Drosophila melanogaster: one gene and its partners. The protein of the gene in region 2 interacts with the protein of the main gene of each other region in a pairwise test. Each region holds a gene or a part of one and is shown on either strand. Other genes may lie near its edges.

Evidence for each region. The genes of interacting proteins can lie anywhere in the genome.
Region 1: the proteins of CG11164 (region 2) and MESK2 interact in a two-hybrid assay, tested with the Drosophila melanogaster proteins (one large-scale study listed by BioGRID).
Region 3: the proteins of CG11164 (region 2) and Nipsnap interact in a two-hybrid assay, tested with the Drosophila melanogaster proteins (one large-scale study listed by BioGRID).

Annotation. Positions count from the first base shown.
Region 1 is NT_033778.4:21,498,858-21,507,094, reverse strand, and holds the start of MESK2 (misexpression suppressor of KSR 2), read right to left. Parts: upstream 4,999-8,237; 5' UTR 4,616-4,998; intron 949-4,615; exon of another isoform or gene 760-948; intron 1-759. Other genes in the region: TAF1C-like (TATA box-binding protein-associated factor RNA polymerase I subunit C-like), read left to right, coding at 5,550-8,078.
Region 2 is NC_004354.4:13,666,122-13,673,669, reverse strand, and holds CG11164 (uncharacterized protein), read right to left. Parts: upstream 5,657-7,548; 5' UTR 5,584-5,656; coding exon 5,223-5,583; intron 5,151-5,222; coding exon 4,489-5,150; 3' UTR 4,097-4,488; downstream 1-4,096. Other genes in the region: CG15760 (uncharacterized protein), read right to left, coding at 1-425, 490-1,183, 1,242-1,434, 2,224-2,369, 3,021-3,110; DNAlig4 (DNA ligase 4), read left to right, coding at 5,930-6,242, 6,310-6,474, 6,534-7,444, 7,507-7,548.
Region 3 is NC_004354.4:16,067,867-16,076,749, forward strand, and holds Nipsnap (nipsnap), read right to left. Parts: upstream 5,703-8,883; 5' UTR 5,644-5,702; exon of another isoform or gene 5,566-5,643; 5' UTR 5,537-5,565; intron 5,417-5,536; exon of another isoform or gene 5,235-5,416; 5' UTR 5,217-5,234; coding exon 5,161-5,216; intron 4,035-5,160; coding exon 3,855-4,034; intron 3,666-3,854; coding exon 3,372-3,665; intron 3,312-3,371; coding exon 3,169-3,311; intron 3,003-3,168; coding exon 2,854-3,002; 3' UTR 2,499-2,853; downstream 1-2,498. Other genes in the region: dpr18 (defective proboscis extension response 18), read left to right, coding at 849-1,062, 1,125-1,449, 1,507-1,631, 1,698-1,828.

The DNA.
Region 1 (8,237 bases), on a different chromosome or scaffold from region 2:
AACAAAAGCAAATAGAATGATGATGAGATTGAGTCACACGAAAGCCGGATTGGCGGGGGTCCACAGTATCAAATGATTGACATTGGTTAAGAAGCAGCAAGCCACTACAGTGGGGCATCGCTTTGACGAAGCCAGCACCAAAATTCGGTTAGTTATGCTCAAAGTCATACGGTAAAGCGATCAACTTTTAAACTTTATGGTTAAGAAACAGCGATAATAAGCCAGGGCCAAATAAAAATGTATTCAAAATCCAAACCCTTTAGTTGTTAATCGATTTCTTTTGAGAGAGTGAGATAAGTTTGAAGAAGTAAAAGAATAGTCAAATGTAATAAATTCCACATCCTTATTCATAGAAGTAAATCAAAGCAAGAACATTTTCTATTCCACATCGAATCGATAAGAATGTTCTTAAACGTTCCAGTGAGTGCACTATGTGACTTGACATGACATGAAATAAGCATTATTGGACTTATGTTAATCAGAATCTGGTGCACCTTAAAGATCAGCCGAATCTCAAGACCTTCAACCTCACTTTCTGCCATCACTATCCAAGCTCCACTGCAGGGGGGAGCACTGAGCTGGGGCGTCAATGCTCGTACTTGAAACAAAATATGCAGGCCAAGCCGCGAGAGGAAGGCGATGTGGGTATGTGGGTTTTGGATCTGGGTTTGGGATTGGGGCACACAGAGACTGCTGCAGCTGCAACCCCCCCGAACCATTCCCATCTCCTACGTCGCCAATGTAGCACATATGCATTACATTAACCCAGTTTGGGCCAAGGGTTGAGGCCTGCTCTCCACGTGCCCTGGCTTGAAGCCAAAGTGGAACGGAGGCATGAAAATTTCACACATCCCCGGGAGGCCACACACATCTTTTCCTCCTCCCGTTCTCGTTCGTCGTGTAGTATTTTTTTTTTTTTTTTTTGCACTGATTAAGTGCGTCATGCGGCTCGAATTTATCAACTAATAATCACCGGACAGCAACGAAGCAAATGCAAACGCTTCAAGCACTCCAAATGCTATGACGCAGCTCCAGATACAGATAATTATATACATGTTATGTACTGGTTGGTCACTGGGCAAGTGTATAAGTTCAAACGATAAACAAAACAAAACTCGTTATGGCTACTATTTTTTGCGTCTTAGGTTTTAGAACCCAGTCAAGCCAAGCAATTTGAATTCATTTCCGAGCTGGGACCTCAGTGCGTATGATGAATGTGGCTCCAGGGTAAACATACAGCAAAATGTATACAAGCCGGATGATTTGGGATGCCGAGCCAGAGTTGTTCTAGAGTTTTATTATTCAAAAGCCAACGACTTAAGTATTTTATTGCTCATTTAGCTGCAATGGTAACTGCATAATTTAGCCATTCGAATTGAAACTTTAGTCATAAAATCACGACGTAAAATGAAGAGAATGGCATAAGTCGTGACTTCCAAATGGAACGATGCATCGCTTTTATGGTTTCCAGCTATCTTATCTTGGTAGCTGCGATTCAAACTGGATTCTTGACTCTCCAATATCTTTCGAAACATCTCATCAAGCCTTATCTTTGGTTAAACAAATAACTAAGTTAAGTAAGTAAGTACAGTGAAATCATACAAGACAATTCTTTTATCAACTGTTATTGAAAGGAACATGCTTGATTTCAGCTGATCAAATAAAATGACCAACTTTTATGGCATAATTACTGGTTTTATCAACCATATAACTGATGAATAATCACACAAAAACAACAATGATTTGTTGCCCTAGTCTGAAAACCTAAACACAAATGACACCGCATTTAAAGTTGCCAAGTACATGGGCACTCGCAAATTCCGCGGCCATCCTTCGCCACTAAAAAAGCTGTTAGTCTAGCTCAACTTTGACCTTTTGCTGCTCGATTTATGGGCGCTGATAAAGTTGCGCTTGCACTTTTCACCTCGACCACACGAAATGGTATATGATATAATGGGCCTAGCGCCATATTTCTACATATATATGTACATATAATGTAGTAATGTATAATGTACTATAGGCTTATTGGTGGCAAGCGATTTATCAGCGGCATCTGGGCCACTTCAATTCCAATAATTGCAGCCCAGCGTGTGCCATTTATGGCGAATTATTCATAATTGCGATTGCACGTGAAGAGTGCAGAGGAGGAGCTTGAGGTGCAAGCAGCGTGGAGCCATTGAAATTAGCCATCGGCTAGAGTGGGACGGCGACAGGCGAACGACGTGCCCTGGCTTTTCCGTTTTTCCGGCCCGGAGCGAAAGGAGCGCACGGAATATCGACAATTTGGCAGGTCGCCCACGGCAACCGTTGGCAGGTCAACGGGCAACAACAAACCGAAGCTCAAGACAGCAATCTGAACTCAATCTACTGCTGAACTGTGTACTTGATTGGGATTCAATGCTACTTCGGATTTACCGACTCAGAAGACTAAATAATTACGATTTTTTTTCTTCTGAGAACAAAAGTGATTTACATAATCCTTGAGCTTTTGATTTGCTTTAAATGTATCTTTTTCTACTTAGACGTGAAAAGAGATAATTTTAAAGGAAGTCTGCTGTAGTTACATACATAATTCATTGTTAAATTATCATTTAATACGTTTAATGGCTCTTGTTTTTTGTAAGATCTTTCAGTGTTCGATTTCCTTGGAAGGTGGCTAACAACAAGTTCTCTGCTGCCCCTAAAAATACTTGCTCAACTATTGTATTGACTGCAATTTGTCCGAGTCCTTCAAGGATATCGCCTCCGATGTGGGAGGGGGTACAAATTTGCAAAACAGAAATTATTCAAATGTTCTTTGGGGGGCGGAGAGACAAGATACCCCATCGGTAGGGGGCGTGGCAGGGGTTCTGGGGCACCGACAACGGCAGCAAATCACATACAGGAAATGTCACGCTATGTCAAGCCGCAGGCCAGCAGGAAAAAAAATCGTACAGCCGAAACGAACCAAATCACACGCTCAACGTCAGAGCGTGTTGTTGCAGGATATGGGAGAATATCAGTTGGGTAGGTGGGAGGCTAGGGGCGTGGCACGGTGGGGCAATGAGGGGCGGCGCAGGTTGCCCTACTGTTACGTGTTTGCAATCGATTTGAAAGTTACATAAAAACAGAGCCGCAGCAGACCAAGGGCAGAAAAGGGAGAAGGTGCCAGGGAAGTTGGTAAACACCTGAGTGGCCAACAAGAGCGTCAACAACAACAACAACAAGAACAACAACAGGAGCAGCAACAAGGCGCCAAAAGCAATTTGTGCGGCGAACTTTTTATTGTGTTTGCCTTCTGAGTAAACTGACCTACGCATTAAACATGCAGGAAAGTTAAACATCAGATATAGATACGTATACATACATGTATGTACTGGACTCAGATACTCAGGAGGACGAGACGAAATCCTGTCCATGGCGATGGCGCCGACAGGTTACAGTAGAGCCGTTAAAGTGGAGTCCTCACCCATTCATTTCCACACCCAAAAACCGCTAGAAGCAATAAAATTTCACAAAACAGCGAATAACAAATGTCTGCAGGAACAGTAAACACTGCCAATAGGTAAACCAATTAGGGCAACTATTAGAGATAACAGTCAAGTCGCTTTTAATGAACAACCCCATTATTCCATTTCGCTTTTCCTTTGTTTAGTTAGGAAAATTGGTCGACTATTGTCTAGAAAATCAACTCGAAGTTGATTTGAGGTTTTTTTGCGAATTGCCTAGATCGTCAAATTTCTTATTTAACTTAATTGCAATTCAGAATATGGAAAAAAGGTGTAGGAATCAAGGAAACCTACTAATTTAGAATCCCAGGACAACATGCAACCGCACTTTTTTTTACTGGCATAACTTGGTTTTCAGCACACAGGCTTCACTGTGGCAGCTGCTGAAATGATTGCGGCGAAGTTTTCTGGAGGTCGTTTAGAGTGGAAAAGCGCCAGCTCCGAGAGAGGGAGAGCGATAAAGAGGAAGAGAGACGGAATGGAGCGAAGGGGAGGGCAGCAGGGGTCCATTACGTCAGAGCCAGAAGCCATTTGGGTTTTGTCAAAAATTAGCAGTTAGGAAAAGCGAGGAAAACCCAAACGAAACCAAAGCCAAACATACACAAAAAAAAAACGAATAACGAATAAAAACGAACATCATAAATGGATGAATTAGTACAGATATGGCGAGCAACAAGAACAACAACGACAAAAACGTGCATACAACAACTAACTGTTAACTAAGTAAAAAGAAGAGTGCGCAAAATATACAATAGTGCTAATTGAAAAACAGATACTGGGATGCAAATGAAAAGTTTTAGATGAGGCAGTGTGTTTTCTTTTCTTTTTAATGGGGGCGAGCGCAGAGAGAGAGAGACAGGATAAGACAGAGAGAGAGAGAGAGAGAGAGAGAGGGAAGAGTAATAGATAACTGCAACAAAACAAATGCAAGCGGAGCGAGAGGGAGGGGAGTAGGATTAGAACTGGTTAATGTTATCTTCCAGACCCGCCCCTCTCTTTCACACCTTTCCAATTGGCATTTGTTTTGTTGTCTGTTTGGCACTTGTATGTATGTTAATTGTGCCCGTTGTGTGCGGTAGTGTAGGTGTGAGTGCAGGTGTGTGCGTGGTTGGATTTAAAAAACTCACCTGACGCTTTCCGTTGCTTTTTCTTCTATTCTTTTGTAGGCCTCAAAATTGAGATAAAAACTACTACCGCTTTTTACCAACGCCTTCTTTTTGGCTAACAAAAAGAGACCGTTGTTTTAACTGCACTGTCTATGAAAAAATCAATATTCGGTCTCGACCAACTTTTTTCTTCACCTTTTCTTTTACAACTTGTGTAATTTCTGTGCTCGTTCTGTTTCATTCACTTATTCTCTCGCTCTCGCGCGCACGCACACACACACACACGCCCGCTGTTCGCGATTGCCAGTAATTTTCGGGGATCAATTTCTTGTAATTTCTCCAGCTGCTTTCAAGTCTTTAATTCTCGGTCTCGATGCAGCGCAAAGCAAATTTGATAGTGATGGGGAGAAACATCGATGCATCGGGAATCGATGTTTTCATATAGGTGCTATCGAGCTAGCCGATATTTTAGAAATAGTATCGCCGACCAGCGATACATCGTCGCTTATCAAAACATCGGATTCTTAAATATTTTTGACTTAAAAATGTAAATGTTACTTATTATTGGTGTCTAAAACCTTTACATTTCTTTAAAAAGGTATTTTACGATGCTTTTTTTTTCAATGTTACATTTTTGCACTTCCAATGTAATGTAATAGATAATCCAAAACCTATATTATTTTAATATATTGTGAATATTTTGCTTGTAATGCTCATAACAGCAAGCATGCGGTTGGGTAGACATAAATACCCATCACTAATCAGCTGTTTCTTGCGTCCAGAGGAAACGTCGTGCGTTTGGCGTTTGATTGAGTCAAATTCAATTTGTTAACTAAATTCTTTCGTGCAGAACTGGATAGCTGATCGAAGAAATCCGTAAGCCAGGCTCACATGCATCAAAACACATCGGCCAGCTAGCAAAATCCGATTTCTTATTTATACTCCAATTACAGACATGCCGCGACGCTATCAAACAGCTCTCAATTCGGCCAAATACAGTGCCCAGGTCAAGACCAAAACTAGTGACAACGAATCCGATTCCGAAGATGATCTTCCGCCGGATCAAGATGCTGAGGATAACAATGAGCCAGATAATCTGCGCAGCATTTTGGAAAATGCGCCGCACTTCTCTTATCCCGGCTTGAACACTGGAATGTTGGGCCAACTCTTGTACGATCATCAGGATAATCCGAAGCAGGACTTGCCAAATTGCTCGGTTACGGTGCCGCTACCCCTCTTCCTGGCAAAGGATGGACAAACTCCCCGAGTGGAGGCATGCGTCCAAAGGCCATTCCGCTACGACGATTGGACACGGCAATTGCAATTAGGCAAGGCTATATTTGATAGGCGACTTAAAAATATGAGACAGCGTGTACAGAAGCAGGAGCAAGGTGTACACGATGCCAGTCTGTTTGAGATGGCTGAGCACATAGCCCAACAGGAGAATTCCTTCTTCAGGGACAGCTACGATTACTACTACACAGGCGGAAACCTAAACACGATTCCGTTTGATGGAAACGATCAGCTGGCCATGCATGTCAGCGGTAATAAGCTCAGAGATTTGCACTTTTCCCGAGATTATGGTGAGGCGGAGTTTTGGCAACCATTGCATTCGGCTACGATAGAGGAATCCTCCAGCGAAGTCTTTGAACTTCTTCCGCTCCACAATTTAAATCGCAGTCAAATGTTCCTGGCACGGTTGCTGAAGGAGGTTTCCCTATACGAACTTAAATGCAAAGACGAACAGGATTCGGATTCAGATTACGAACTCATTCGCCATTGCATGTTTAGCAGTCAAGTAGCTCCTTTTACAAGCGCTGCACAATCATTGGCCAATGCCAATACATTGGCCTTAGCTAGCCAGGATAGGTCTTTGCGCTTCGTGGATATTTCGACACAACAGGATATAGCCAAGCTTGATGTTTGCTTGCTAAAAGGACTGAAGAAAACCTCGAGTACCTGGGCACAGTTAAAGCAAGCAGAGGAAAGCACCTTTCACTGCCTAACACAGCCAGTTTTGTTTACCGTAGATGTGCGATGCAATCTGCCTCTGAATCCCTGCTTTGCCAGCGGCGTTCACTCAAAAGCTTGCGAGAGGTTCTCTTGTTTGGCCAAGGGTGTGAATCCTAATCTCTTGTATGTGGCTAGTAATCACAACTTCCACTGTTTGGATATCAGATGCTTGGGTAAAAAGCTGACCGATCGAGCTGTCGTCACCTGGACGCATCAGATGACCTATCCACCCTGTTTTATTGACACAAGCGTTCACCAGGACAGTGAATATATTGCGTTAGGTGGACTCTTACCCAAAGATTTGCGAATTTGTGAACTGCAAGGAGCTCAGGCAAAAAGTGTCGATGAAATGTTCTCGCCGGCAATACCATTTGCGCCGGTAACCCTGGAAGAAGCTTTAATAGATGCTCGCTTGGGAGGATTTGTGGATGTCTATGCTGATATAGCAGAGCGGGTAACGACCTGCATTACAGGAATGCGCTTTATTGGCTTAGAGGGGGCCAGTGATCAAGCTTTTACCCAGTTGCTAACCTCCAACAGCTTGGGAGATGTTTACTGCCAAAGACTAACGCTTAGGGATGAAGAGGAGCATGTCCAGCAGATCAGAACCGGAACTCATACAACGGAAGCCATTCGCTACCTTGCCAATGCCGTTAATGAGCGCGTCCAACGCGAGAACATCCGCTGCACACAAGTCCAGTCGATACCAGAGATAAGAGACATCTTTCGAGATGGTGCCAAAAGATCAAAACCTGAAGAAAAACCTTTAATCGTAGAGGAAATCGAAATTGACTATGGCATAGAAGATACTGATGTTTCAGAAGATGAAAGCCCAGCCTCTGAAAAGGTAAAGGAAGAACCTTCGGAATCCAAGAAAGGTGGTAAGAAAACGCCTAAGAAAAAAACCAAGGTGAAACCAAAACGGCAACCCAAAAGGAAAGCTGCCAGTAAGAGAAATGTTAAAAAGCAGAAGAGCATCAGTCGCGGTCCCTGGCAGAAATCCGCTTACAAGCTGTCCCACTACACGGACATGATGTCGACCCGTTTGCTGGACGTGTGGGATATGGAGGAGTACGACACCACACGAGACGTAACAAGAGAAATGTTCGATGAGCGTATAAAGGGGAAGGAGCTGGAACCTGAACAACGCATGGCCAATTGGTTGGAACAATTGCCCAGTCAGACAGTGGTACCCACTGAGGACGAGGTGACCGAGGGAAATCCCGACATGGTTCCCGGTACAAGTCTACCAAAGCTATATGGCGCCACTACAGCGAACTATTCAGTCATTCCAGCCCTTAATTCCGATCAGGACATCGGAGAGCGCCTTTTGAGTCCCAAAAAGGAATCGCCTGTTGAATTTGGCCGCGAGTATTCTATCTTGCTGCCCGGCCAGAATACTATCATCGAGGACTATCCCTGTGCCCCGCCAGCTAAGAGGCCCAAGGTTAAACACGTAAAGGGTTTCTAGCTTAAGTTAGAGTTGTTAACCTTAATTTAAATTTAACAAAAATAAATAGCAGATTATAAAGTATATTAAATAGAAGTAAGTAGATTTAGAATTTAGATTTCTGCCAACAATATTAAATGTTTTTTATTTTTTATTCGATTGCAATAATTTGAATAACAC
Region 2 (7,548 bases):
GTTCGAGGGCGTCGATAGCGTATGCTGCAGCCGGGGCTTGGCGCCAGTTCCGTTCAGCAGTAGCTGCTCGTAGCTAACGCCCGCCTGCAGCTGGCGGATCTGGTCGAGAATCTCACGCACCTCGCCCGTCGGACTGGTGGCCTGAGGCGGCGAGCCCGGTGTTCCAATGTTGGCCAGACTACTCACGCCGGACACCTGAGCCGATGGCTGGCAGCAGTTCTCCAGACTATGCAGCGGGTTCGGTTGGATGCAGCCATTGCTGTATATCACCGGTGTGCCAGATCCTCCCGATGTGCCTGCGGCACCCGTTACCGATCCTCCCAAGCCGCCCATTGCCAGGCTATTCAGGGAGGCAGCCTGTGTTGCCGATCCACTTTCCGCGCCATGGAAGGCACCACCAGCTCCTCCGCTTTCGGGTAGCATTCCTGCAAGAAATCATATAACAATAAATAAGTATTTTAATAGGAAATTCCTTATCACAATACCCACCTGCCACACAGCTGTTGTTCACAAAGATGTCGCTGAGACTGCTGCTGCTATTCGCCATATACCGGAAGTGCTGATCACTCTGGGACTGAAGGTAGCCCACACCAACGCCCACGCCAACTCCCTCCTCGTGAGATGCATGCAGCCGCGTGCTGTAGAGCGCTGCTCCGCCCGGTGCACTGCCCAGTGCCACGGTGGCATAATGCTGGGCCTGCGTCTGGGCGGGCATCAGTCTCGGCTGATAGGCATCCGTTTCCACCAGCTGGGATGCCGATCTCGGCATGGCGTAGTGCACAGATGCCAGCGGAGCATTTGGCACCTGATGCGATGGCGCCTGTTGTTCCACAGATCTCAGATGGCCATTCCCGTGTCCATGGGCATTTGCATTGGCATTGACATTAGCATTGGCATGCGCATGGGCATGGGCCACATAATGATGCAGTCCTAACTCCGGACTGGCTGCCCGTGAGTATGGTGGTGGCACCAGGGTATTCGCCTCATTCGCATTGCAAATGAAGCTGGAGCTTAGGGAGTCGACGGTGCTGGCCGCACTCAGGGATCCCCCGGCAGCCGGACGGACGATGTAGTTCCGGAAGTACTGCACCATCAGGTAGCTGGAGCTGCCGTTGCCCTTGCCATTGCCCGAATCGCTGTTGCAGGTGAAGACAAGTGGATACAGATCCGGCTTGGAGGTCACCTGAGAAGATGGAAATTGTTAAGCGAATCGATTCCGGTCATGTATATGATTACATTACCTCCGTATATGGCGGCGGCGGATGGTGAAACGAGTTGCAGCGACTATATTGTGGTGGTGCATAGCAGGAGCCGGCGGAATCGCCCTCGGATTGGGTGTGGTGCTCATTGAATCCCCAGCCGCATAGTGTCCGCCGCTTCTTCCATAGTGAGTAGGCACACAGGATGGCCAAGATGATGGCCACAACCACGCACCTGCAATAAGAATATAGATTTTCAATCAATCTTTGTAATATCAAAGTGAGGATCGTTATTCACTGCTCGGTTTGCAGCTGGCGCGACTGAATGAAGAAGCCCATTGGAGTAGTGGATGCGGATGTGGGTGCGGATACGGATCCGGATCCGTGTCCTGCTGTTCCCGTAATCGAATTCCGACTGAAATTTGTTTGCCTTTTCGATGGCCAAGAGATGGGATTATATGAGCTGGGTGGCGGTGTGCGGGTTCCGTTTGTGTCTCATTAGTTGGCATTGCCATTTCCACAGCCCCCAAGGGAGGTGGTCGGTACTATGTGCTGGTCGCACTGATGGTAGTGGTGGCATAGCACGGGGGTACAGCTTGCATAAGCCTCTCGACTTGACTCGACATTTGACTTGACGCAACCCCGTCGCTGGGCGCCACCTTTTCTGCCAATAATAATAATATCTCTCGCATGGCACACAATGCCAATCAGCTGGAAGTCCGGCCAGAGCACACTGAAAACCCACGCCATCCAATCCATCCCACCATTCCAACGCCCCAAAAACCCGCCTCATTGAACGGCCTTGCAGACGACCTCCGGGGAATCCCCAAACACAAAAACAAAAACAGTGCAATTCATGATGACCGTGACCATCGCAGTAGCTAAATAAATCACTTCTACTTTGCGCAATTAAAAGAATCACTGTCTCCGAAAGATTCCTATTATTTTACAATTTCGAATAGATAAGTTAGATAGACAGAGAAGTTTCCAAAAGGAGGAGTTTCTCCGGGTCAACACTACTCACCAGAAAAACCAGTGGGTGGCGAAGAACAGATTGAGAACATGCGAGTCCGAGGAGGGCGGAAGGGGGCGTGGCCCGCCCTGGTACGGCGGACAGCAGCCCTGGGTGCAACAGCCCTGAGTGCAGCCCTCGCAAAATCTGGCAGACACCTGGGAAAATGGAACAAGACATTGCATATATTATTCGTTTAATCATGAGAAATATTTGCACATTTTTTATGATAAAAAATAATGTATTCCACTTTTTGTCGATACACCTTTGAAATTGTCATTGCCAATAAATAAAGAATATAAACAACAGCTTGTTATTTTTGTGGTGTTTTTGTATAGCGAGCGACCACTGTACTGCGCCCTTGTTCTTGTGCTCATATTTATGTTTGTGTGCTATGCATTTATTACCGTTGGGAAAGCAATCGCAATCAATTTAAAATTCAAATGTGCATGCAACATGGATGCGCTTGCGTTTATTTAAAAAACTTTTTACAAAGATTAGCTGTTATCTTTTTTTAAGGCGTTTCGTGGGCCCAAATTGCAACAAGCGCACAATAATTGTATTTAATCAAAATATTACAGTGTTGAAAACCAAAGTTTAAATTGCTCGCACATACAAAGGTTCCCAAAAGCATGCAGTGAAACGTATAGTGTCTTGTTTTAAATGAATTCACAAGCGATTTTTATCACCTTGACAATTTACATGTGTAAAATGCGCTTAAAAATTAACTACAGCATAACATTTCGTTGTTTTTCGGTTATTATGCTAGTTTGAGTGCTTGCAACATTGATGAAATGAAGGGCACTTACGTTCGCTGGCAGCAGCCCCAAAAGGAGGAACAAGGAGAGCAGGAGACACTGCAGCGCGTTTGTGTGCGAGGGAGAGGGACGGAGCCACATCTTTCTCAGCCGCTGACGCTGCCTCAGTCGACGCCGCTGTCGCAGTTGCTGCTCGGACTGGCGCCAAATGTCCTACGGGGCTGGTGAGGGGAGGAGGTGCGGGGAGTGTGTGCCTCTCCCTTATTTTCTTCGATTCTTCGCTTTCTTCTTGTCGCAGCCTCCGTTTTGTGTCCGTTTTGGCCCTCGTGTGCGATTTGTTCCTGTCTTTTGTTTTGCTTTCCTATCTGGCTTTCTACTTGCTTCTTTTGCTGTTGATACTTTGCAGTTCCGTTATTTGTACCACATGCTGTTGTTGCTATTGTTGTTGTGGTCGGACTCACACAAACAGCGCTTTGTTTTGTCCTTGACAGACGCCAAATGCAATTTACCGTAGCATGCTTTTGTGCGTTGCGTTGCGATTGTTGGTGTTGCTGCCGTTGTTGTTGCTGCTGCTGCAGAGAAGAGAGAATTTGTTGCTAACTGAGTGCTGCATTGTATTATTTATCTTATGCCACACCAACCACAACACATTCGCACACACACATACACACACACTAAGGCACAAACACCTCGACGACGCCAAAGAAAATTTTCTTTCGTGTGACGCCACTCTTTTCCTTTCTCTGCCTTTCACAATTTAAACTTGAGCACTGGCTTTGGGACACACGGCTAACGGGAAAATTCACTAATGTAACCCCTGTAATTGTTGTTCCGAAAATTCAAGGCATATAGAAAACAACAACAACAACAAGAGCAGGAGTAGCAGGATATTCGGTTGCGGGCGAATGGGTAACGGGGGTGGCGAAATGCGAATCAAGGCGCAAAGCGGAATTCACCGTTAGCCTCGAACGTGGGAGCGCGCACAGCAACAACTGAGCGACAAAAACGGAAACAAAGGAGCCAGCAGCTTTGTAACTGACGGCCAGGATTGCCACCCCGCGCAATGAACTAAGGATTGAAATCATATGTGTTGCATGAATCCCCAAAAATTAATTTCGTTTCTAGTTAGTTTTATTAGTATACTCTGATTTCATATGTTTAATTAGCATTACTTAATATGCTTATATGGTATACCTAAAAAAATATGTCGACTAAGAAACTCTTTATTCGCAACATTTGGCACTGAAGCCTCTAAGTAAACCAATTCCTTAGAAGCCTGGCAACGCCAACAGCTGATGGGGATTTACCAAACGGAATCAAGAGAGATGATCAAACAGCGCATGCGCCAAAAAGGCGCACTTTCAAAATACCAAATTTATGAATACAAATCTTAAAATAACAAAAGTAATTCTTTAAAGTACTATATTCATTGTAAAAAAAAGTGTACATTTGTATTAAATAGAGTATATATATAAAATAAGGAGTTAAAACCTATTCTTAAGATCTGTGAAACGTTAATCTACTTCGCTTTGAAAAACGATGCGATGCTTTTAGTGCCCTTGGCTCCTTTGGCCAGGGCCTTCTCCTTGGCGGTCAGCGAGCGCTCCTTCAGAGGCGCCGCTGTGGGCGATGTGATGGTGGCATTGGGATCGCCATCGCTGTCCACTAGACCGCTGGACTTTAGCTTGGCAGCAGCATCGCTCTCATTTAGCTTGATCTTCTTGGAGTCGCTGCCCTCGTTCTTGCCCGCCACCGACTTGCGCTTCTGAGAAGCTGCTTTCTCCTCAACAATCGCCTGAATCTCGCTAGGAATGTGCAGGTAACTGGTGAGCAAGCCGTGCAGATCCGCATCCAAATACCGTCCCACATAATCGCAAGCCATGCGCGTGTAGTCCATTTCGTTGCTAACGTTCTCAGCTACCAGTTTCTCGCTTCGCACGAAATTCTGCGACTGCGCACTGTGGCCGCAGTGGACTTGCTTCTCCTTCAGGATCTTCGCCACCTGGCGCGTCTTCAGAGCCAACCAAGCCAATGTGCGCTCTTGGTTGTACTTGTAGAACTTCTGTTCGCCAGAGCTCTTCACATCTGCCACGCATTTAAGGTTCCCTGGGTCGAGGATCTCGTTAAGCAGACGACTGGTGCTGGCCTCCTCCACGGCAATGTTGTCCAGCGATATTGCTCCTGATTGTGGTTAAAGATTTTCAAGAATACAATAGTATAGTATACCATCGAAAGCGAATGATAATATCTTACTTTGCGCACAATGTTTTCGGAGGTGATGAAGAGCCAGGAACGTGGGATCCACGGGCGCGGTCATGTAGATTCTGCCGTTGGAGCAGACCTCGCTGTCCACGAACCAACTGCGTCGGGGTTCCGTGAACGCCACCAGCTCCATCATTCTGCCATCGGGATGGGTTATGAACAGTGCCTCCTTGCCATGTCCGGGATGGAAAAACATCTCCAGCCGAAGGTGTCCGTCGTCCGCATCTTTGGGCAGCAGTTCCTCCGACATGAAGAACACCTTCTTCAGTGCCGAGGCCTTGCACATCTTGGCAGATCCCTCCGCATCCGGATCAGCTTTTGGTTTTCTCGCTCGCGTTTCCTTTTTGCCCATTTTCTCGAATAACTTGCCAAGCGTGAAGCAAAAGTCAATAACTGTGGACCGAACCAAAACAAACGATTTGCCGCCTTTTTGGTTATTGATAGAAGTCTATCGATTAATTTTGGTATTTTATATAGTCTGCTAATTTTAACTTGTTCCTATAAACTATTTTATCTATTTTATGCCAAATAGAAGAGCTTAAAAATTAAATAATCTCTGCCACTAACGTCCGCATCTTAATATTGCAACTAGTCTAAAATGGGTATTAACTTTGATTGAGAAGCGCGGTCACATTGCTTGAACAGATGTTCACAGTGATGAAATTGTTTACAACAGTATATTGTTTTTAAACAACAAAATGAGCGTAGATATAGCCAGCACGATCAAGTTCCGGGATATTTGCAGCCTGTTCGAGAAGATTAAGGCCACGCAAAAGGTGGCTAACAAGGAGGAGGTCCTCAAGAGCTACTACGAGTCCTTCTGTCGCCACCGCGAATCCTTTCGCCGGCAAACCGGATTAAACAACGACCAGCCGGAGGACGGTGCCAGTAGCTTCTATTCCGTGCTGCGACTGCTGCTTCCGGGTGCGGACACTGGTCGGGATACCTATGGATTGCAGATCACCGCGCTGGGCAGGCTCTACATCAGGGTGCTCCAGCTACCCACGGACTGTGAGTGCAGAAACGTATTGGCAATGGCATTTAGGCTTATTTAGAATCTCTTTGTTGTCTCTACTAGCCAGCGATGCCATCAGGCTGCAGCACCGCAACGGAAACATGTACCGGGACTACGGTGATGTTGTTTATTCCGTGCTTAAGCCAAGGTGCTTTAATCCGCCCAGCAATTTGAGACTGAAAGAAATCCATCAGATGCTGGACACCATTGCCAACGAGGACACAGAAGGTGGGCGCTTTTAAACTGATCTGAACGACTGAACGTCTTAATGAGACCGCTCTTTGCAGTTAAGCAGCAGCAACTCATCCGGTTTACGGAGCAGGCCTCGCCTGAGGAACAGAAGTGGCTAATTCGGTTGCTGCTTAAGAGCCTCGGGCTGGGGATCGGTGAGCAAAAGATTTTCGGTGTGCTGCACCCCAAGGCGCAGGATATCTACCAGCGCTGCTCCGATCTGGGACATGTGTGCAATCTGCTGGCAGACCGAACCACCGACCTAGACGCCAGCAGCAGCAAGGACAGCAAGGCGGCGGTCAAGTTTGTAAACCTGAATTCCGTCATACGGCCATTCCACCAGATACGTCCCATGCTGTGCGAACGATTCCCCGGTGACATCCAGGAGCTGATGCAGTCGGATGTGCTCTATCTGGAGACCAAAATGGATGGCGAACGCTTTCAGCTGCACATCGATCGGGGTCGTTTCATGTACATTTCCCGCAATGGAGTGGACTACACCAGAAACTTTGGTCACAGCTACGATCACGGCACCTTAACGCCAAAGCTGAGGGGACTTCTGCCGCTGGGTCTGGAGTCTATCATACTCGACGGCGAGATGATGGTGTGGGATACCAACAAACTGCGCTTTCGGGAAAAAGGCGAGAATACGGACGTGAAGAGCCTGAAGCCGGAGGGCAGCTGGCAGCCATGTTTCGTGGTGTACGATCTGCTATATTTTAATGGCCAGAGTCTGCTGGACCATACCTACATTCAGCGGGCGTACAAATTGCAGAAACTCATAGTTGAACAGTCGGGTGTGCTGCAGTTGATGCGTGCACGCAAAATCGGTTCCGTTCAAGAGTTCAACGAGCTGTTCCAGCAGGCACTCGACTCCCACGCCGAGGGCATTGTGCTAAAGAAGCAGGGATCAAGATATCAGCCTGGCGTTAGACTGGGCGGTGGGTGGTACAAGGACAAGGCTGATGTGAGTAGAGTCATTTTTAAGTAGAGTGCTTTAATATGAACTCACTTCAATTTTCCAACCAGTACATCAAAGGGCTGATCACCGAGTTCGATGTGCTGATCATC
Region 3 (8,883 bases), 2.4 Mb from region 2:
ACATACATATACATGCATACATGCACGTAAATAAATATCTATTGTTCTGCACAGTTAATTGATTTCACAAATGATGAAACAACCGAAATAATTGGAAATAAATTAGCTCTCACTACCTATGTGTTCACGGATTTTATTTACTTTATTTACTGTTTTACTTTATAAGACAAAACAAAAAGCAAGTTTTTAAGCCATTAAACCCCTTTTTTGAATAAATATAATTTAGTTACTATTCAATTTGATTGCCTTTCTTAATATGTTTACATCAAACATACAATGTATGTATGTATGCATATGGCAACAAAAAACACCCACCGCCACCACCATTGCATTGAAACTCATTTGTGTATGAGTACTTTTTTACGGATGTGTGTGTGTGCAATATCGGTAAACCAATAAACGCACAAAAATTTGCCCATTTAACCATAAATATTATATTTATTACATACTCATTACACAGGCCTGCAAGTACTCACTTATTATCATTTTACCTAATTGTTGGCACTTTTAGGAGCAACGAAATGTACAAAAACTGATTTAATTTAATTGTTTCGCGGCAGCCATTTTCTTTACCGATGCTCGCAAAATATGACAATGAAATGAGAGAGAATAAGAAGAAGCCGATGAGAGAGCCTATTTTCTTTTCAGCTATTCTCATAATTCGATCCTCCCGTTTGTTTTTGTTAAACCGATAGTCGTGAGAGAGCGCTTTGAGAGAGATAAATGTGTAACGTGTTTTACCGTTTCGACTATTTTCTTTTACTTATCATATGTACGAACATACATATGTACATATATGCCCAATCTTGCGGTTACTTTAAATAAGATTTTGAATTTCCAACTTCCAGGTCATGTGGGTCAGGCGAACGGCAGAGAAGGTATCGCTCCTGACCGTTGGCAACGTGACCTACAGTGGAGACCCGAGAATTCGGGTGAAGTTCCAGTACCCGAACAATTGGCGATTACTTATCAATCCCACGCAGACTGAAGATGCCGGAGTTTACATGTGCCAGGTTTCCACCCATCCCCCCCGGGTATTCACCACAAATCTCACTGTCTTGGGTATGGATACCACCAATTCTAACCTTATAACGAATCCTACATGGCAAGTTTTCCGCTTTCAGAACCCCCCCTGAGGATAATCGATGAGCACGAGAGGGACGTGGGGGATCGTTATTATAAGTCTGGAAGCACCGTCGATCTACAATGCCAAATATCGCGTAGCTTTTTCCAAAAAGAACGTCAGACCATTCTAAAATCAACCGATTCTGCAAACGATGCTGTACAGAAACTAATCAATGAGACGACTAGTGAGCTTAATCTAATTGGCAACGTAAATCAGACGCAACACAAGTTCTCTGGCCAGGATCTGGAGAAATACTTCACCAAGTTTATAACCTGGGCAAAGGACGAAGAACCACTGCAAGGAATGACCAATAGGCGCTTAAGGTAGATTACAAACGATGCAAGTCGGAATTCCTATATACTGTGTCCTGTGTATTGCAGCGTTTCCGATGTTTGGCTAACCAGTCGTATCTCCATTGGAGATGCCAAACTATCCGATAGTGGCAACTATTCCTGTTCCCTTGGCAGACTGTTCACCGTAATTGTCCAAGTTCAAGTGCTCACAGGTAATTAATTAGTGATTGAAGTTTCGTGAAAATCATTTCCCTGATATGTTATATATATCTTTACAGGCGAACTACCCGCAGCTGTTCAGCACAATATTGGTTCAAGAACCGAAATCTATTCCCTTGCGATGTTGGGTCATCTCCTTGTACTCATTTTCCTCTTCACTTGCCTGAAAACCGAAAATCGACATTTCTGAGGCTTTAATCTGAGAAGGGACTGCGGAAAACCCCATAGCCATTCGATTTTCACAAACAATTAACCAATAATATTAGGTATAAACGAGATTGGCTGGTTCTAAACAACGGTTTTAGTTTTAAAGTTGAGAATCAGAAGGTGATTTCATTACATATTTTTGTTATAGTGCCTACGGTGTATAAGACTTTAAATTTGTTTGGACAAATATTCTTAAAAATTTGTTTAGAATTGAATTAATTAGGCAAAAAGATGACATAATAACAATTCCAGATTCCTAAGAGCCAAAAACCCAATGGTTTAAAAAAAAAAGTTTCTCGAACTTTTTTTCTAGTTAATTTAGTGATGATGTTGAAATATCGCACACATGTTATATGATGCCTCTTAAAGAGTTAAGAAACTGGCGGGGATAGCAAAATATTTCGTTTAATTTTCTGTGACTTTTAAAAGTTCATAGAATATGTGCATTAATTAAGTTTGAGCAACTAAGCAGGCAAATCAAATGTATCATACGTTATTATTATGTTATACCACTAATTCACAGGATAACAAGTTTTTTCAAGAAAACAACGATCTGATTAAAACTTTATGCGGTATACTACTTTTTCATCACCTATTATTTTGCTGTTTGTAATTACGGAATTGGGTGGTTCTGCATTTTATTAGAGATGTTTCAATTAATATCCAATACCATTTACTATATTTTGGGATCTGTTTTAAAAACTAACTTATAACAGTTTCATAATTGCTTTATTTTATAAAAACAAAATTGGTTTTGTTAAATTCAAAGGTCGTAGGCGATACACACATAGAGGTTCGTAAAAATGTTGGATAGAAATTTCCACTTTGACCTTAATTATACTTAAAAAAAAAATTAAATGATTGCATATGTAGCTGGCATTATTTACAATAACTATTCAACAGGAAAATAGGCGAAGATGCGTTCTCGGTGTTTTCACAGCTAATTTGTCCAATCGTCGATGAACTTCAATTTCTCAGAACGCTAGAAAGTGCAACACCCAGTGCTAATTATTGTGAGGGCGAGAACTCAGTGGGCGCCAGGACACGGCAGTGCATCTCGCGGATTAATGGCACCGTGTAGGCCACACACTCATCCCATCCGGGGGATCGCCAGGCTGCTTCCCGGGTCTCCTTACGGTCTTGCAGAGATTTGTAACCTATTTTGAAAAGAAGAGCAAATATTAATGTTTGCTTTACAGCTTATATAAAAATATGGCTTCAAAAATTGCTAGTGGCTTAAAATATCCTTTAAACCATTCTAAACGTATTTGGCAATGAAACTCAAATTACTCAAATCTTTTAATTATACTATCTATCACTTACACCAAATGTGATGAACATTGTACAGTCTTCCGATCTGCGAGAAGAATCCGGCGAATGCTTCGTTGTTGTGCTTGCGATAGTTGATGGCGCGGGCCCAGTTGTTTCCCCACTCAATCATGGTGCCAGGTGTCAGTCGGTATGAGCTGAGACAATTGGGTTAATTTAGCTATGCATTTTTGAATTGAAAATACTCTGCAACATACCGCATTTCGTAAATGTTCTTGCCGGTACGACTGGCAATTTGCGGCCAGTAGCTGAATGCCAAGAGATATTGCAGATGACGGGAGCGCAAGAACTTGGAACGCTCCTGCATCAAGCTAAGATACTCGGGATCGTTCCAAAGGTCTTCTTTGGCCTGATCTATCTTCTCGAAGCCTCCTGTGTACTTCCACAGGTGCAGGCACTGATCCATGTCGCCCACTTGAACCGTCCATGATGCCACCAATTCGCAGGAAAGGTTTGCCTTCTTCTCGTTGATCAAAGCGACAGTAGTTTTGCTGTAAAAGGTAAGGGTACTTTTAACAATCTATGCTACTTTCGGGATTTAAAACCACCCGGAAATGTGTTTGAAAGTATGCTATCGAAAATGGACAACGCTTTCAATGTTTATTCTTTAGCTTTGAGTACTCTGCACCTATTTAGTTCTTTTAGGCACCTTTTAAGGACGTTAAATTTCAGTCACTTACTAGTTATTTAAGTAGCTGCCCATGGAATCGGGCCTGACGTTGTGGGTATGAAGGGCATATATGATTTCCTTATCGCTGAGCATTCGACTGTGCGACTCCTTGGTTGGTTCTATTTTCCGAACGAGCAGTTTTGAGAACCATGATTCTGAATCGTTGCGGCTCGGAGTGGTGGACAGAGAGCTAAAAGTATCAATAATGGGTAATTTAAAAAGGTTGGCATAATAAACAATTACAAAATAAACTTACAATATCTTAATTGTATTCTGTATAAGGTAAGATATATTGGTAATACCTAAAAATACATTTTTAAATGATATGTTCTAAGTCCAAACTCTCTAGATAACGTTTTTAATAAGTCTATCTTTCAGATCGAAGATATAATATTCAATTTTTGGAAGGCCACTTATCAATATTAGCTATAAGTAGGCCAATTGAATTGGACCGTGGGCAAAAAATAGATAAATAAGGAGAACGCTATTTCCTTTACACTGAACTTACAAATTAAGAAAAGCTACCCCTGCGTATTATTAACTTTTTCGAATTTTCCAGGGGCAAATGTATTCATAACTTAAAAATACAAAATGCATATATAGTACGGCATTTCATACATGAAGGGTAACTAAAATTCGCACCGTCGTGTTTATTTTGTTTTTGTATACGTTTTTGCTTTGCTGACGTCGCAACGGCATTTTCATTTATGTATGGATGTATACGTACGAAATTGGAACCAAACATACATATTAACGTGTAGGAGTGTGAATGCTAGTGCTGGAAAGGGTACGCGATTTGTGTACCTACAAGGACGGTACCTGGTAGGTACTCTTAATGCTAAGTATGACGGCTTGGAAAATGAGTAAGCAACAACTACTCTGCGTAAATTTAATAACATGAGTTTAGGGAATTCGTGAATAATATATTTAATCTAAAAGACTTAAAATGACTAGTAGTTGAAAAACATAATGTTAATAAAAATGAACCCCTAGGCTGGAGGAAAATTGAATATGAATACCATTAAATATCATTATTTTAAGATCCTTATAAATACTGTTATTTATATATAAATAAGTAAGAATTAAGAATTAATTTTGTTATTTCAATCTAAAAAATTTGAATATACGAGTATATATTCATTGCCTATATTTCATTTGGATTCCACGAATCTGGGCAATTAATAAGTGCCACAAGCTGATATCCAGGTACAGGTACCTGTGCCTACTCGGCAACACTGATCAAATATGTAAATGGACTCAGCTGTGGGCAATTTTTGTGTTCATTTTTTATAGTATATTCATGTTGTTTTTCTTACCGGACAGCGTTGTTGTTGCTTTTGCCGACGGCCAATAGATTACGTAGCTTAAGCATTTTCGATTTATGTAGGATCTGGCGAGTATATATGTATATAGAGCGATATGGGGTGAAAACTGGAAAATAAAATCAGTAACTGTTATCATCCCGATTCGCCATCTCTACCACTGCAATGTGTGTACATTATGTGTACTTTAGTCAAGGTGAAGTCAGAGTCATTTTAACAAGTGCGCCGGTACATGGTCTATGGTAGCATTGATAATAGAGAATGTAGAGCGTTCTCTCGTTTCAACTCTGTCCGATTTCCCCACCCGCTTTAAATTCAGCAATTATTTTGGAAAAATAATAAATGTTTCTCTTTCCACACTAGCACTCACTTTATAGTTATTTGCGGGAGTGTTACAAACTAAAATAATATTTAAATGAAATGTTAACGTTAAAAGAAAACAAAATAATATGCAGTAGAGCTGTCTTAACCACTGACCGATTGTATCGATATATCGCGTCCATGCGCTTGGCTATCGATATGGACCTAAGAGTTAACAAAGTAGTCGTCTTTTCGATTGCATGCTATAGCGATAAGGTGTTTTAGTTTTTTGCGGTCACTCTGAATTAATTACGTTACATTTCAAATTTGTTTAAAAGCTGACTTTGAAATTCATAGTTTTTAAAGCGAAAATGGGTCATTTTGTTAATCTAGGACCACTCTTCTTCTTGGCCGCTCTCATGCTCAAGTCCGATCTGAAAGCTCCTATCCTCGTTCAGTTCGTTTTCTTCCTTCGCGAGCATCGGTAATAGAAAAAATGGCGGTTCGGCGTGCCAAAATGAATTAAATCAGTTTTAATGTTTTTCGGTATTAAAAAGTACTGAAAGTTTGTTAAAATGATAATCAATGAGTGATCGCACACTGCTAAACGCATTTTAACTCATTACTTTTCTTTAAACGATTTAATTATGTGATTTACACGCACACGCGTTTGTGCCGAGAAGTACATATGTACATACTTATGTGTGTGTGTGTAAGTAAGCAGCTCGGCTTGATCTGCTTTTTAAATTTGAGCGCGGTTATATAGTTCACGCACACACGTTTCCGCGGAGAAGTACATACATATGTGTGTGTGCGTAAGTGAGCATATCGGTTTGATTTGTGTTTTAAATTTGAGCGCGGTTATATAGAGTTCATATTTATAATGCTTGCTTATTTATTAAAACCCGACAACCACTTTTGTATGCTTAATACTTTTTGCGAATATATATATAAAATGTATTGCTATAAATTTCAAAATGAAATACACCTGAAAAGTGGACCAAAAAAAGAAAATGGCGAAAACGAACATTTTTGTTCTGCTTTACTTCTCCGCCCGTTTGCTTTAAATTCCATTTCGTTTTCTACCTTCGCCGGTGATTAAAACGGTTACATTTTGTGTTTTTATACACTCGGGCGTACATTAATACATACCTGAGTTAAAAGTGAAATTAAAAATAGCATTTCTCAATATATCGGCCAAAGGAAGGAAATATAATTAAATAATTTATTTGAGCAAGAAGCTAAAAAGTGTACATAATCATAAAGCGGTGGTAAGTAAAAGTTATTTTTATTTCAATTCATACCTGTTAATTTACGATTCCTGAAATCTAAATATATTACGTATACGTAAACGGGGATAAAAAAGTAATCCAAATCTAGAAACGATTTCAATAATTTAAAATCACGACGAGTACGCGGTGAAAATCAAAATCCGTGCCTAGGAAGGGTAAAATGTATTAATTTATTTATTTACATAGGTAAGGTAAAAAGTACTCAACTAATTTACCTTGGTACGTACCCGTAGGTACCGTTTTTGAGCTTTTATTTTGCCGTGAGTACTAATCTTGTAAAAGGACATCTGTTCTCAGAATACTGAATAAGTATGCAACAGTGCGGAGAAAACATCAAACTCTTTTTTTGCATTTTTTTTTTTTTTGCTTTTTGTTAACAATATCCAATTGTTTAAGTCGGTGATCGAAGCAGATCACTGTTTTTTTTTTATAAACAATGCGTTTTAATTATACGATAATCTTTATTCTACTAAAGGTAATACGAAAAATACTCATATGGAAGTTATATTTGTTACTATACATAGTACATACATTTTATATTATTAACCTCTATGTTTATTTTCACACACGTAAGGGGTTTTAAATTGATTGAATAGTTCGGTACTAAGAATAGATATACATACACGATTATTGTGTGCTAATGAGGTCACACATATACATTATTTTGTTATTGTTTTGCATGTATGTACATCGTTATTGTAATCACTGATATGCATTAATTTAATTACTTTCTCTTTCGGATTTTTCTGTTCAACGAAAGCCATATATGTACATACATATATCAATCGGTACCAAAATCTATTCGAGTTGAAGTTTAAAACATAATACGTACATATGCAGTGAATGTATGTATGTATGACTTCTCAGCCTTTAATTATAATTTTCACGTTGTTTTTTTTTTCTTTTCAATATACATACATATAAACATATGCCTTATTTAACAGAAAAGAACAGTAGAACTCAGATCACATAAAAGTTCATATCCATTTTTGGTGTTTAGTTGGGAATATACCATATGTAAAATCTAGACACACATGAGAAAATATCTTTTATCATATAAACTTTTTTTAAGCCCGATAACGTGGAAAGAATATAACACTTATAATAGAAAGTACAGTTGCTTATACGTTGATACTTTTTCAGTTGTATTATGATAAACTTATGTCATATATCATATATTTCATAATATACTATTTGTATTTCCGCTAACATCCAGAGCTGTGACCACTAACCAATTTTCGGAAATTCTATTCAAGAGTCTGGTTGGTAATGCACATTTAGATTTATGTTGGAAATCGCATATCAATAAAACAAGTTACCTAAAAAAATATATAAAAGTTACATTCGTAAATGAGTTTTCATCTAACTACCTATCAAAATATCTGTACTTATGAACCTTATCGAAGATAAGTGGGCTTAAATATAGTTGATTTTCCTATTTTTCTTTTTGTTTTTATTACTTTGCATTGCGTGAGAGATTTCTCTTCGTACATTTACATACATATAGAAACATATCTGAGGTATAAAAAGCTGTATTATATCTAATTTTTTGGTTGTCCTCCTTGTAGCTAAATACATGTACCAATGTCGCACTTTACTTTAGTTAGTGAGTTGTTTCTACGTCTGGCTTGATCTCTTGATTTTTGTTGACTTCTTTAAGTGTGTTTTAAAATGTTGCTTGGTGTGGATTTTATTCATCTCATATTGTAAAATATGTTTTGGTTTTATTGTTTTTTTTTTTTTTGTTTTCGCTTTTGTATATTTGTGTGTCTACCATAATGGTTCATTATTTGCTTATTAGATCGGTCGGATACAATTTCATCTCGATCGAGTTAAAATTTTAAGTTGGTGGACATTGATGATTAGGCGGATACTTTATCTAAATTTCCCCATCTATATACATATACATATGAATATTTTGCCATTTCTACAGCGGTTTTTCACATCTCTGTATCGCGTTCCTTATCTGTGCCTTACATTGTTATCACAATCACAATAGAATAGTTCTTATAAGCCAGCCATCCCGTATTCTCGTCCAATACTCTCCATTTCAAATTTCATATCCATATCTATAACCATATCCATTCCATATCGCTCTACGATTTAGATTCAGGTAAGGATAGAT